Linked DNA regions of Macaca mulatta. The protein of the gene in region 1 purifies or fractionates together with the protein of each later gene. This does not show direct contact. Links are inferred from orthologs where the notes say so. Each region holds a gene or a part of one and is shown in the gene's direction. Other genes may lie near its edges. The genes, in order: ITGA4, LGALS1 and ITGB1.

Region 1 (4,276 bases):
TGACTGTAGGTTTGTTATATATGGCCTTTATTATTTTGAAATATGTTCCTTCTATATCCATTTTGGTGAGAATTTTTATCATAAAGGAATGTTGAATTTTATCAAATGCTGTTTCAGCATCTATTGAAATAAGTATACCATTTCTGTTAATGACTTATAATATTTAGATTGTTTTTAAAGACATAGGAAATGGGTTAGATCTCCTAAAGAGGGAAGATGGAAAGAGAATGAAAGAGGGTCCAGAATATAGCCCTGGGGATTTCCAGCACTTATGGTGGAGGGAAAGGAGACATCAGAGGAAACTCAGAGTGGCCAGATAGAAAGGGAGGAAAAAGCTTAATAAGGTGGTATCATGAGAAGAGAGTCTTTCTGGAAGGAGAAATGCTTACTCTTGATAACAACTGAAAAATAGGGTGAGTCCACATTAGAATCCTCGCTACTGGGGAGGACTTTCTACACAAGGTTAGAGATCACTTGTATTTTATCTACTATAATTTTAGTCCATAATGCATTTTCTGGCACATAGTGGGCACTTGATAAGTATTCATTCAATGACATTTAGTAATTGAGTGCCCAAATATTTATGTCGGGTTGAGAGCTAGGGATAGGCATGAGTCTTTCTTCAACATCCTTCTGATTAGAGAGATAGCAGTATCTTCAGTTTATTTTAAAGCATCATGAAACACACTTTATTCCTGCTAACATTAGGAAAAGCGAGCTGTTTTCTAAGCCTTGGAGGAAGGAAATTCAGCTAACATGTGAGATAATGTAGGGTGGCTATTTCTCGAAAGGTAGTGAATCATAGCTATAACCATAACTGTGGAAAAAAGTCCTGCCTTATCAACCACTCCATTGACTGCTAGTCACCAAAACTACGCTATGAAACAAATTGTGTTGAGTGGCTTTCATTGTAAAAGACTTTGGTGAAGGGAGGGAAAGAAGGGGTTCAGATCAGAAGATCTGGCTTTGCCAGTTTCTGGAGGGTGTCAGAATGGCTTCAATATACCTACGTCCTTGGCCTCAACTGGAGGTTTTGTAGCTGCAAACAAGAAGGATTGCGTAGTTCAGAATAACGACAATGTAAGCTAATTGTGGAACTGGGTTAAAATCAGCATGTAGATCTACTAAGAAACACACTCAGCACTACTGCAGAGAGAAACATCAGAACCATTCTCCACAGGCCCTTCATTTCTGGAAGCCATTTCATTTTTACAATAGATTTATCACACACCATATTGACTTTTTACTGTAAAGAGAAAGTTAATATTCCTCATATTTTGTCTGTTGACAGAGTGAAAATAATTGCATTGGGTTTGGCTAGAATATCCTGTCATTCCAAAAATATCTCAAACTCCACATGGCTAAAACTTAACCCATCAATGCCCCCATCTACATGCTTGCATACATGCATATTACTTCATTTCTCAGTGTTTTTTTCTCTGTGAATGGTATCACCACACACCCAGTTCCCAAATCCAAAACTGCCCTGCGGATTTTCAACAATTACGGTGGAAGAAGCCAGCAGAGGAGACTCAGAGTGCCCAGATAGGAAGGGAGGAGAAAAAAGTTCAATAAAGTGGTGCCCTGAGAGGAGAGTCTTTCAAGAAAGAGAAATACTTCTCCTTGGGCTTATCCTCTATTTATTGTTGCAGGGGCTTCCAAAATTAGGTTTTCTGTGTTCAGTCTTGCGTTCACACTTCTGAAACCCAGAGCTGACCCAGACAAATTCCTCAACTTCCTGTCAGCCCCAACATAGATTTAAAATTCCTAACCTGGCTTACGAGGTTCACCATGTATTCCTGCTTCTCTAAGTCAGGCTCATATCACACCAATCTGTGTGTGGGGTGGCTAAATACACTAGCCAGGGAAGCTCTTTCAGTTCTTCTACCTGGCCCCGCTGGAGCCCTCCTTATTGCTCATTCCGTTCTTAGCCTGATTCAAAATTCCTGGTCCTTCACATCTCTCTTTACGTGTCCTCACCTGGAACTTTCTCTAGTTAGTACAAATTTTCTATCTACCATTGGAGCAAACATTTTTTGAAAGTTTGTATCAGTCCTGCCTTACTCTTGGTGGAATCCTGTGGTCCTAGCCAAGTGCCTGCTCCATTAATGTGCTGAATAAATGAATAAGCATTTTAATTATGTATCTGTCGTTAGTGTCAGATGTGTTATTCCAGCAGGGTTTTAGCACACAGACACACTCTTTGATGCAGACTTTTCCTGTGTTTTCTTTTTACATATAGCAACAATAAAAAAAACTAGACCTTCATCTCCTGAAAATATCAGTCTAATAATCACCTATGACTGTCTCTCTGGTTGCTGAAGGGAAAAAACAAAACAAAACGAAACAAAAACAAACAAACAAAAAATCCAGGGCACACCTGGATTGCATTAGAATGAAACTCACTACCCAGTTCAGGTGTGTTGCGTCATGGGTCTCCGGCACATTTCAGAGGCTCATTAGGACCCTGACCCCACACTGGAGTTTACACCCCTAATAGCAGCTGTGTCCCGTGGCAACTGAGTGGGTGCGTGAAAAGGGGATAATCAAGAACCAGCTGGAGCAATCAGAATCGGTTAAAGTGAATCAAGTCACAGTGCTTCCTTAACCCAACCTCTCTGTTGGGGTCGGCCACAGCCTATAACCGCCTGCCATTCAACCTGAGCGGCTGCTGCTCGCCTGCTCAGGCACACAGCCCGGGGTGCAGAGGAAGTGTGGGGAGGAAGGAAGTGGGCATAGAAGGGTGCCCAGTGTGGGTCTTGAAGAGAATAGCCATAACGTCTCTGTCACCAAAATGTTCCCCAGGAGCCTTCGGCGAGTTTTTTGGGGTTTTGTTTTTAATTTGTGGCTCTTGATAATTTATCTAGTGGTTGCCTACATCTGAAAAACAAGACAGTGCTTGACTCTCAACCAAAGAACTGGACGGCTCCCCGCCGCAGTCCCAGTCCCCGAGTTTGTGGCTGGCATTTGGGCCACGCCGGGCTGCCTGCTAGAGGCTGGGCGGTCACAGCGAGGGGCACGCGGTTTGGGGCCACACAGCTCCGCTTCTAGGCCCCAACTACTGTTAAAAGGGGAAGCCCGTGCTCCATCTAGGTCCGCTCTTACTGAGCCCAGAGCCATCCCGCGCTCTGCGGGCTGGGAGGTCCGGCCGAGACGCGCGTCCTGCGCAGCCGAGGCTCCCCAGCGCCCCCTGCAGCCGCGCGTAAGGGGAGACGGGGCCCGGCCCTGCGCCACCGCACCACGCCCGGGACCCCACCCAGCGGCCCGTACCCGGAGAATCAGCGCGAGAACCCGAAGCTCCCGGCGAGCAGCAGAAACCGGGAGTGGGGCCGGGCGAGTGCGCGGCATCCCAGGCCAGCCGAATCGCTCCGCCCGCGGTGGGCCGACTTCCCCTCCTCTTCCCTCCCTCCTTCCTTTCCTGTAGCCCGCCGGCGCCGGACACGCTGCGCCTCATCTCTTGGGGCGTTCTTCCCCGTTGGCCAACCGTCGCATCCCGTGCAACTTTGGGGTAGTGGCCGTTTAGTGTTGAATGTTCCCCACCGACAGCGCATGGCTTGGGAAGCGAGGCGCGAACCTGGTCCCCGAAGGGCCGCCCTCCGGGAGACGGTGATGTTGTTGCTGTGCCTGGGGGTCCCGACCGGCCGCCCCTACAACGTGGACACTGAGAGCGCGCTGCTTTACCAGGGCCCCCCCAACACGCTGTTCGGCTACTCGGTCGTGCTGCACAGCCACGGGGCGAACCGATGGTGAGTAGAGTTGGACCAATGAGCCCTCAGCAGCTCAGAGCGGCGTGAGAACGGCGCCCAAGGGATTCCCTGCCCGGTTCAAACTTTTCTCCCTCCCAAGGAGGCAGGAGGGAAACGCTGCGAGTGCCAGCTCGCTGGAGATCTGCCAGGGAAACTAACTTATCTTGGGGTGGCAGCACCCCGGGGTGCGTTCTGGCGCAAGACCTTGGAGCTTCGAGTCGGGGGTGGTGGGCGGAAGAGGAGGTGGGAAAGCTGCCCTGCTGCCGACTGCACATCTGTTCCGACAGGGAGCTCAGTGGGCAGCACAGCTCACGTCTGAGCGCACGTGCACGTGTCTCTTTAGGCTCGTGGTGGGTGCGCCCACTGCCAACTGGCTCGCCAACGCTTCAGTGATCAATCCCGGGGCGATTTACAGATGCAGGATCGGGAAGAATCCCGGCCGGACGTGCGAACAGCTCCAGCTGGGTGAGTTGGGTGTGGAAGCAGGAGTTAGTGACCTCCCGACCCCCCATGTGGACCCCACCATAGGG
Region 2 (4,260 bases), on another chromosome or scaffold:
ATTGGCCGGGCATGGTGGTGGGGGCCTGTAGTCCCATCTACTCAAGAGGCTGAGGCAGGAGAACCTGGGAGGCAGAGGTTGCAGTAAGCCGAGGTCATGCCACTGCACTCCAGCCTGGGCGACAGAGTGACACTCCATCTCAAAAATAAATAGATAAAAATAAAAAAGAGAGAGGACAGGGTGCTGTCATGCACATCCATGTAAAGAGACCACCAAACAGGCTTTGTGTGAGCAACATGGCTGTTTATTTCACCTGGGTGCAGGCGGGCTGAGTCCGAAAAGAGTCAGCGAAGGGAGATAAGGGCGGGACCGTTTTATAGGATTTGGGTAGGTAAAGGAAAATTACAGTAAAAGGGGTGTTGTTCTCTGGCAGGCAGGAGTGGGGGTCACAAGGTGCTCAGTGGGGGAGCTTTTTGAGCCAGGATGAGCCAGGAAAAGGAACTTCACAAGATAATATAATTGCTTAAGGCAAGGGCTGGCCATTTTCACTTCTTTTGTGGTAGAATGTCATCAGTTACTGCAAGGCAGGGCATTTGCACTTCTTTTGTGATTCTTCAGTTACTTCAGGCCATCTGGGCATACGTGCAAGTCACAGGGGATGCGATGGTTTGGCTTGGGCTCAGAGGCCTGACAGGTGCACAGAGCTAGGACCCCACCCCCTCCTGGCCTGGACCACCCTGGGCCATCTCCCCAGCTTGACACTCAGGCCAGAGGCTGTCAGGCCAGGGCGCTTTGACTATCCCCTGCATGCCCCTGAAGGGGGCCAAGCCCGAGGACTTAGCCAAGCCCTGCAACCTAAGGCTTGGCGTGCAGCCCAGCCTTTCCTTAGCCTTAGCTAGGAGCGAGCAAGCGCTGCAGCAGCCGCAGTCCTTGCTTCCGGGGAAGGCCCGGGTGGCGCCAGGGCCTGTGGTTTAAGTCGGTGGCCCTCTGCAGACGCGCACGCAGGAGCCACGCCCTGGTCCCTGCCCTGGAGTGGCCTGGTCTCTCCCAGCTCTGATTCCTTGAAGGACCCTGCACCTCCTCAGCCATCTTCTCTGGGCACCCCCTGAGCTCAGCCTGCTGGCCACAGGCCCCTTCCCGCCAACTCGTGGGCCTAGCTCATCATCAAACTATTTTCCATTGGCTTCCCCCAATCTCTGCCACAGCACAATTTCGGTGGTGGCGGGGCAGGGGGAGGTGGAGAGGGATGAAGAATAGGAGGTGGAGCTTGGACCCTCGTGGGGGGGCGGCAGATGGCCACTCTGATTGGTCACCTCTGCTCCAGAACTGGCTTCAAAATTCCACGGACTCCGCCCTCGGTGGCCCCCAGCCCTGTCCTGACTTGCAATTGGCTGAACTTCCAGGGGGCGGGGCTCACCCGGTCCGGTCCCGTTAAAAGGGTGGGAGCGTCCGGGGGCCCATCTCTCTCGGGTGGAGTCTTCTAACAGCTGGTGCGCCTCTCCTGGCAACATCCTCCTGGCCTCAATCATGGCTTGTGTGAGTGTGGGGACCCCACCCCAAGGTCCAGGGGATAGGGCAGGAGCTGATGGCCGGAGGAGAGCTGGGCAGATCGGGAGCAGGGTTCTAGCCCCAGCTGTGTGGCCTGGAACCACTGCCTTCTCTTTTCTAGACCTCAGTAGCCACATCTGTAAAATTGGGGTGGGCGCCATGGTCCCTCAAGGCCTTCTCTGCATTGATAATTGTTTGGATTCCTCCAGGGTCTGAAAGCACAGTTATTTCTGCCCAGGGTTGACATTCTGCAGCTCTCTGAGTAGTGAGCGTGGGAAGGGTGTGGCCAACTGGGGGACACCCAGGCCACTATATCTTTCCCCCTCCTCCACCCCAAAAAGCCTCCCGTCCCCTCCCCCCTGCAGCTGTCCCAGTCACCAGGCCCGGGCAGAGTCACCCTCTGCTCCAGAATACGCTGAAAAGTCGCCAGGACCCGAGACAGGCTGCCCAGGATGGGCCTTTCTAGGTCGGGGGTGGAGGGTGGTTGTGTCCAGGCTGGTGGGAGGGAGGGGAGCCGGGGAAATTCCCTTCCACCACCCCCAAGCTGGGAGGTTGGGGTGGCAGGGAGGTGAGAATCTTCCTCGGGCCCCAGGGAAAGGGTTCAAGTTTCTGACAGAAGAAACCACTCAAATCAGTTAACTCTTGCCCACCCACTCGGGGTGCCAGGGAGCAGCAGTGCGCAGCAGTTTTCTCAATCTTGTTAACCCTGAACCAGCCTGGCCACAGCCCGACTGCAGGCCACTCCCTAATGCAGAGGGGCCGTGTTCTTCAGGGTCTCCTCTCTAGCCCCTGGGCCTCTTCGCAGAGAGGAGCTTGAAGGAGAATAGTAGTGTCCCCCTAGCCACTTCCTCTCCAGCAGAGGGGTCGACCCCTGCATTCAGTGTGACTGTGGGCCAACTGCCTGCCCCTCCCCAGCCTGATCCTCTCTATCTGCGATGGGACAGAGCACCCCACCTCCCAAGCCACTCTTGAGTTCAAAATCCCCAGGCCAATCTGCAAAATCTTCTAGAGCCTGTCTTCTAGAACCTGATTCACATTACAGATTGAAGCCAACCCTGTTGGGAATAGGGACTTTTCCAGGACCACACAGAGAATCAGAGGCTAGAAATCACAGCCCCATCCTGTCCCCAGGCTTCCCCTTGGCTTGGTCAGAGGATGCCGGGCGGGAACAACCCCACTCCCACCCCCAGCCACCCCCGGACACTTCGGGTAGTGGAGGCCTTGTCCTCTAACCTGCTGGGCCGGGGCTTGTCTGTGCAGGGTCTGGTCGCCAGCAACCTGAATCTCAAACCTGGAGAGTGCCTCCGAGTGCGGGGCGAGGTGGCCCCCGACGCCAAGAGGTGAGAGGTGAAGTCAGGGTGGTGGGCGGCAGGGATGGGGGCTTGGTCCAGCCGAGAGGGCGTGGCCGGCCAAGTCCACGTCTCCTCCCTGGCCGAGAGTGGGTTAACGGCCGGCCGACGTTGCTGCGCTTTCTGGGTGACTCACTTCCCCCGCGGGGTCTGGGCGCCCCCACCATTGCCGCCCCCTCCCCCGCTCCCTCCCTGCTGTAGCCTCTTAAACTACAACAGCTGCAGCCTCGTCATCTATAATACCTTGGTTCCCCCGCCCCCACCCCTTTCCGGTCTGGGCGGGGCCTGCATCTGGGGAGGGCGGGGAGAAGAGTGAGGCGGGAGTCACCGCCGCCTTCCCTCTGAGTCCCTCCCTCCTGCGTCAGGTCATTCATTCACTGGCTCAGTCCTGTCCTTCTTCCTTCACTCCTCGTTCACTCAGCCGGCTGCCTTATTTTCTCAGCAGCTATGTGACCTTGGACCAGTCAACCAACCTCACCTAGCCTCATTTTGTTAGAAAAACAAGGGGGGGGAGGTGGTTGTGTGGAGGAAGTGAGATGCCGATGGTGTAGTGATGATGAGGAGGGTGAGGATCGGCTGATATTGTTAAGAGCTGATATTGTTAAGAGCCGTACACTTCTCATGCACTAATTTCATTGCAACCAAACCCTCAGAGGCAGGTATAGCTATTATCACCACTAAACAAATGCATTTATTATTTTATTTTTTGAGACGGAGTCTCACCCTGTCCTCCAGGCTGGAGTGCAATGGCTTGATCTCGGCTCACCACAACCTCCATCTCCTGGGTTCAAACGATTCTCCTGCCTCAGCCTCCCGAGTAGCTGGGACTACAGGTGCCTACCACCACGCCCAGCTACTTTTTGTACTTTTAGTAGAGATGGGGGTTCACCATGTTGGCCAGGCTGGTCTCGAACCCCTGACCTCATGATCTGCCCACCTCGGCCTCCCAAAGTGCTGGGGTTACAGGAGTGAGCCACCGTGCCCAGGAGTATTATTATTTGTTAATTCACCCCATAATTACTAAGCATCTCCTTCTGGTGTGCCCCACTTGTGCTGGGCACCAGGAACACAGATGTACAAGACAGGACGTGAAGTTGCCATCTGGAGGAAGTCTCTGACCTTGACCAAAAGGGCTAGGACGCTAGTGACTTCAAGAATCTAGCAAGTCCTCCTGTGCAGCCCCCATTGTACAGATGAGCAAACAGGCAAGGAGGGGCAGGGACTAGCTCACGTTCACACCGTAAGCAGCTGTCAGGGCCAGAGCTAGAATCCAGGTTTCTTGTCTCTGTTAGTGAGTTCTTCAAGCAAAGTGTGTTCGTGGAGTACTGAGTGACAGATTAGTCAGTCGGTGGGGCTGGAGCTGGCCGAGGTGGCCTCACACCCACCCATTACCCCCCAGCTTCGTGCTGAACCTGGGCAAAGA
Region 3 (4,249 bases), on another chromosome or scaffold:
TTCTCAACAATGGTAAAATCCATACCTTTAAAATTCAAGAATGTTGTGTTCTAATGGCAGTTTGACCATTGAGATATTAACATAGGAACATCATTTAGCCTCTTAAGCTTGAACATCCATTAAGCGGGAAAAATAGTGCTTATTTCCTAGAGGTCTGCAGACATTGGCTAACCAATAGTTTTGATTTTGCTGGTAAGTAATGTGCAAATTTTCTTAGATGTGATCGCCTCATTTTCTCTTATATTTTAGATTGGCAGCAGCCAAATGGGCGTTCCAGCCCCTCATCTCCTGCAAGATTCTTCTCAGTTTCATAAATCTGGTAATTTTTGAGCTCTTTTCCCAACAGGGTGCTGCAGCTCACCAAGTGGAACCTACAACATTTTCTGCTACCAGGATAGCAGCTTGCCAGCAGCGTATACTGAAATTACTGGGTTTCAGTATGATGTTGGTTGGTACGAACTTCAATCATCGAATCGACATGCGCCCAGCCATTCTCATAATGAATGTTTCCTTCTCTTTCAAACGTTCTGTTTCCAGCCCCCATCTCCTTTTTTTTTTCTTCTTTTTTAAAGAGGTTTGAAACAGAAACTTTACTCCGTAGGAAGAAACTTTTCCTTCTCATCCCTGTTCCCCATAAAGGGACCTCCAGATAAATCTATCAAAAGCAGGACCCAACTCACCAGGTTTTCTAAAACGTTCCCCAGTCCCACCACCCTTCGTGGCACCCACGGGTTTCCCAAGTCTTCATCTTTCTCTTAGACACACGCTAGCACATTATCACTCCAGAAAAGCAGTCCTGGCTTAGCCAGTTCCCTTCCAGAATGACCACGTGGTTTTTGGCCCCATGGAGTCCTGCAGGGTATGGGGGGTTCATGGTACCGATTTGCCTCGGGACTGAGGGGGCTTCCGGGAATCAGGACCTCCCGGGCTCTAAACGGGACATCAGTGGACAAACGGGAGGGAGGGTCGGACACGCGGATCCGAGGAAGCGGAACTTAAAGAACACGGGCCCAGCAGGCTACACCAGGAACGCGCGGGGCTTTAGGGCGCAACCGACCCCTCCCGCCCTTCACAGAGGAGGAAACTGAGGCATGGCGACTGTCTCAGCGGAGTCCCGGCCCTGCCCTCCACGGCCTCCCTCAGGCGCGCTCCCGAGCGGGCCGGTTCCTTTGTCCCGGTCGCGCTTCCTGCCTCCTCCTGCGCCTCCTCCTCGCCCCGGGGCCGGGCTGACGCGGCGGGAGAGGAATGCGTTTCCGGAGGGAGAGGGCGGTGGCGGCCTCGGGAGCGGGATCAGACGCGCAGAGGAGGCGGGGCCGCGGCTGGTTTCCTGCCGGGGGGCGGCTCTGGGCCGCCGAGTCCCCTCCTCCCGCCCCTGAGGAGGAGGAGCCGCCGCCACCCGCCGCGCCCGAGACTCGGGAGGTCCCGCCAGCCCGCAGGAGAGGCCGAGCGGGAGTCGCGGAACAGCAGGCCGGAGCCCACCGCGCCGGGGCCCGGACGCCGCGCGGAGAAGGTAGGCGCCGGCGGGCCTCGGGTGTGGGGGTGCAGGCCGCGGCCTCGGGTCTGCTGTGCGCGACAGCACTTAACAGCCGCCGGCCCGGGCCGCGCCGGGACCTTTGTGCCAGGCGTGGGGGCGGGGGCGGGGGCGGCCGCGGGCCGGTGGGGGCTGGGGCGGGATTCCAGGCTAGTCCGGGAGGAAGTCCGCACACCGCCACCCCCCTCGGGTCCCAGGCGCTGGCAGCGTCCGGGCGCCGAGTCGGCCCAGCCGCGTTCTGAGCGCTAGGGTCGCGGGCCTGGGCGCTGTCACGTCGGGGCTGCTGGAGCTGCGGAGGACCGGGCCTGAGCGGCTCCTGACACCTGCGGTCTCCCGCCAGGCTGGGCGAGCGCAGGTGGGAGCCAGCGAGGCCACCCGGGGCTCGGCGTTTAGGACTCAGCGCGCCCCTGGACTGGTCCTGCGCCTTTGTCTCTCGCTCCCTCGCTGGCTGCTGTTTTTGGAGCAGCGTCGAGCCGGCCGTCGGCGCCCGCTGTTGGGATTGGTCTTCTCCGACTGGAGCCGGGATAGAAAGTGGCCTCGCGGAGCCGCTGGGGACCGGGGGCGCGGCGGCGGCAGTGCAGTTCACTTCCCGGTGTTTATAAACGCGAATGCCGGGAAGTCAAGAGTCGCCGGCCCCTGCCGGGCACCCCGGGACCAGGACACAGGGCCACGGCCACTTTGCGCTCAGACCCGGTCCGCGAGCCTGAGAGCCCGTCCTGTGTCTAGTATCATTTTTACCGCGTGTCATTTCTTAGGCTTCATAAATTGGATTTATGAGACTCCCACTCTCTAAGTAACTTTCATTTAATCAAATTCGTGCTTTTAAGTCCAAAGCTTTGCACTCATTGGTATGATCATTAGTAAGTTGCATTCTCTAAGCTTCCGTTTCCTCATCTGTGAAATAGGAACAATACTACCTACACTAATAATTCATTTTTATAACAATGACAGCGAGGGCCAGGTTTAGCTCTAGGCATTTCATGTGTATTATTTAATTCTGGAACTGCTCTAATGAGATTGCTACTGTTTCTATTTCCATTTTCCGAGTGAAGAAACGGAGGCACCGGGAGCAAAAAGTAAGTTGCATATGGTCATCGGGAGCTCCTGGAGAAGGCATGGGGTCTAGCTCCAGAGCCTACGTTTAAACCAAAAGTAACCTTCCTAACTATAGTCGTGAAAATCAAATGCAAAATGTAAAACACTTAGCTTGAGAGTAGATGCTCAATGAATATTGACTGCTTTTCAGCCCTTCTTTTATAGTAAAAAGATTTCTCGGAAGGTAATTGGTAACATCATTAGTAAGGTTTCTTTGGGCCAACATGCCACATGGATAACAGGTGGATAGAATTGCTAGGTTATTTTGTTTTGTTTTGAGACAGGGTCTCTGTCGCCCAGGCTGGAGTGCAGAGGAGCTATCACAGCTCACTGCAGCCTCAGCCTCTCGTGCTTAAGTTATTTTTCCACCTCAGCCACCTGAGTAGCTGGAACGACAGGCGCCTGCCACCATGCCCGGCTAATTTTTTAATTTTTTGTAGAGACAGGATTTCACTATGCTGCCCAGGCTGGCCTCAAACTCCTAGGCTCAAGCAGTCCTCTCTCCTAGAGCTCCCAAAGTGTTGGGATTACAGACTTGAGCCCCCTGAGCCTGGCCCTTAGGTTATTATTATTTTTCTTATTGTACTTCTGATGCTACAAAAATAACGTTCTAGAGGAATTTAGACATCTTTCTTAAACCACATATGCCCTTTACGATAGGGTATACAATAGGCCACTTTTAGAAATGATTAAGGAACTTTAGTTGGCAGTTACCTGTTCATTTGTGGACATCAAGGCCCAGAGGGGTCAGGACTTAGAGTCTCACTGTAATTCTCATATTTTTAAATAATGTTGGCTCATTGATCAATATTATATAAGTGACTGAAGATGGTGAAGTGTTAAATAAAAAACATTGGTATTTTGATTACAGGCATTTGGGGGGAAAGCCATTTTATTTATCCCAAAATTGAGTATGAAGGTGGAAGATGTTATTAGAATACTAGCTAAAAGGACAAAGAATGTGGTTAATAGCTTAATTCTGTAAAAAGGAAGCAAATAGACTGTTTAACTCATCTATGTTGACTTCAGACCTAGACCTACAATTTTATGTGATTTTCCTAACAATGTAAAGTTCTGTATTAAAGTTATTTTTGAATACCTTCAACATTCTGTACATGAAATGCATGGAATCAACAATTCTGAAAGTCACTGCATTTAGTAATTTTAACAATTAGGCAGCTTTCTTCTTAGCTTTCTGGTCAGTATAATTTAATTTAAATCAGCCCCAAATTACCATCACGAATGAAAATGTAGTTCTACATTGGTGTTCTTCCTAACTCTGGGAGTGACACTGGGGACAAATGGTCATACTATAATAATGAAAAGTGGTCAAACAACATGGTGCCAGTTTTTCTAAGAGTGCTTGCCACTGATTTTAATGTCTTTATTGTTTGACTTCTTGATAAGTAAGTTGTGGCTTACAGCAGGGAGTAGTACAGTGTTCTGTCCGAAAAAAATATTCATTAATATTCTGTAGCTGCTCTGGTTTGCCCTTAACCATGCTGCTAGTGTGATAAGCTGAAACATCTTGTAAAAGTTTCAGAGAGCTTTCAAGTTCCGAGAACTTAACTTTTCTGAGTATGTAACAAGCTACATATATCTGAAAGGATTCATTTGGACTTT

What was found.
Region 2: the proteins of ITGA4 (region 1) and LGALS1 purify together in Homo sapiens (affinity purification with mass spectrometry; 3 studies listed by BioGRID and IntAct, with this or other methods). This does not show direct contact. The link is inferred for Macaca mulatta from reciprocal best matches to the Homo sapiens genes ITGA4 and LGALS1.
Region 3: the proteins of ITGA4 (region 1) and ITGB1 purify together in Homo sapiens (co-immunoprecipitation; 4 studies listed by BioGRID and IntAct, with this or other methods). This does not show direct contact. The link is inferred for Macaca mulatta from reciprocal best matches to the Homo sapiens genes ITGA4 and ITGB1.

Annotation. Positions count from the first base shown.
Region 1 is NC_133417.1:86,371,589-86,375,864, forward strand, and holds the start of ITGA4 (integrin alpha-4), read left to right. Parts: upstream 1-1,277; 5' UTR 1,278-3,549; coding exon 3,550-3,746; intron 3,747-4,089; coding exon 4,090-4,211; intron 4,212-4,276. UniProt on the Homo sapiens protein: Integrins alpha-4/beta-1 (VLA-4) and alpha-4/beta-7 are receptors for fibronectin. They recognize one or more domains within the alternatively spliced CS-1 and CS-5 regions of fibronectin. They are also receptors for VCAM1.
Region 2 is NC_133415.1:13,851,649-13,855,908, reverse strand, and holds the start of LGALS1 (galectin-1), read left to right. Parts: upstream 1-1,407; 5' UTR 1,408-1,467; coding exon 1,468-1,476; intron 1,477-2,748; coding exon 2,749-2,828; intron 2,829-4,236; coding exon 4,237-4,260. UniProt on the Homo sapiens protein: Lectin that binds beta-galactoside and a wide array of complex carbohydrates. Plays a role in regulating apoptosis, cell proliferation and cell differentiation. Inhibits CD45 protein phosphatase activity and therefore the dephosphorylation of Lyn kinase.
Region 3 is NC_133414.1:34,342,099-34,346,347, reverse strand, and holds the start of ITGB1 (integrin beta-1), read left to right. Parts: upstream 1-1,388; 5' UTR 1,389-1,510; intron 1,511-4,249.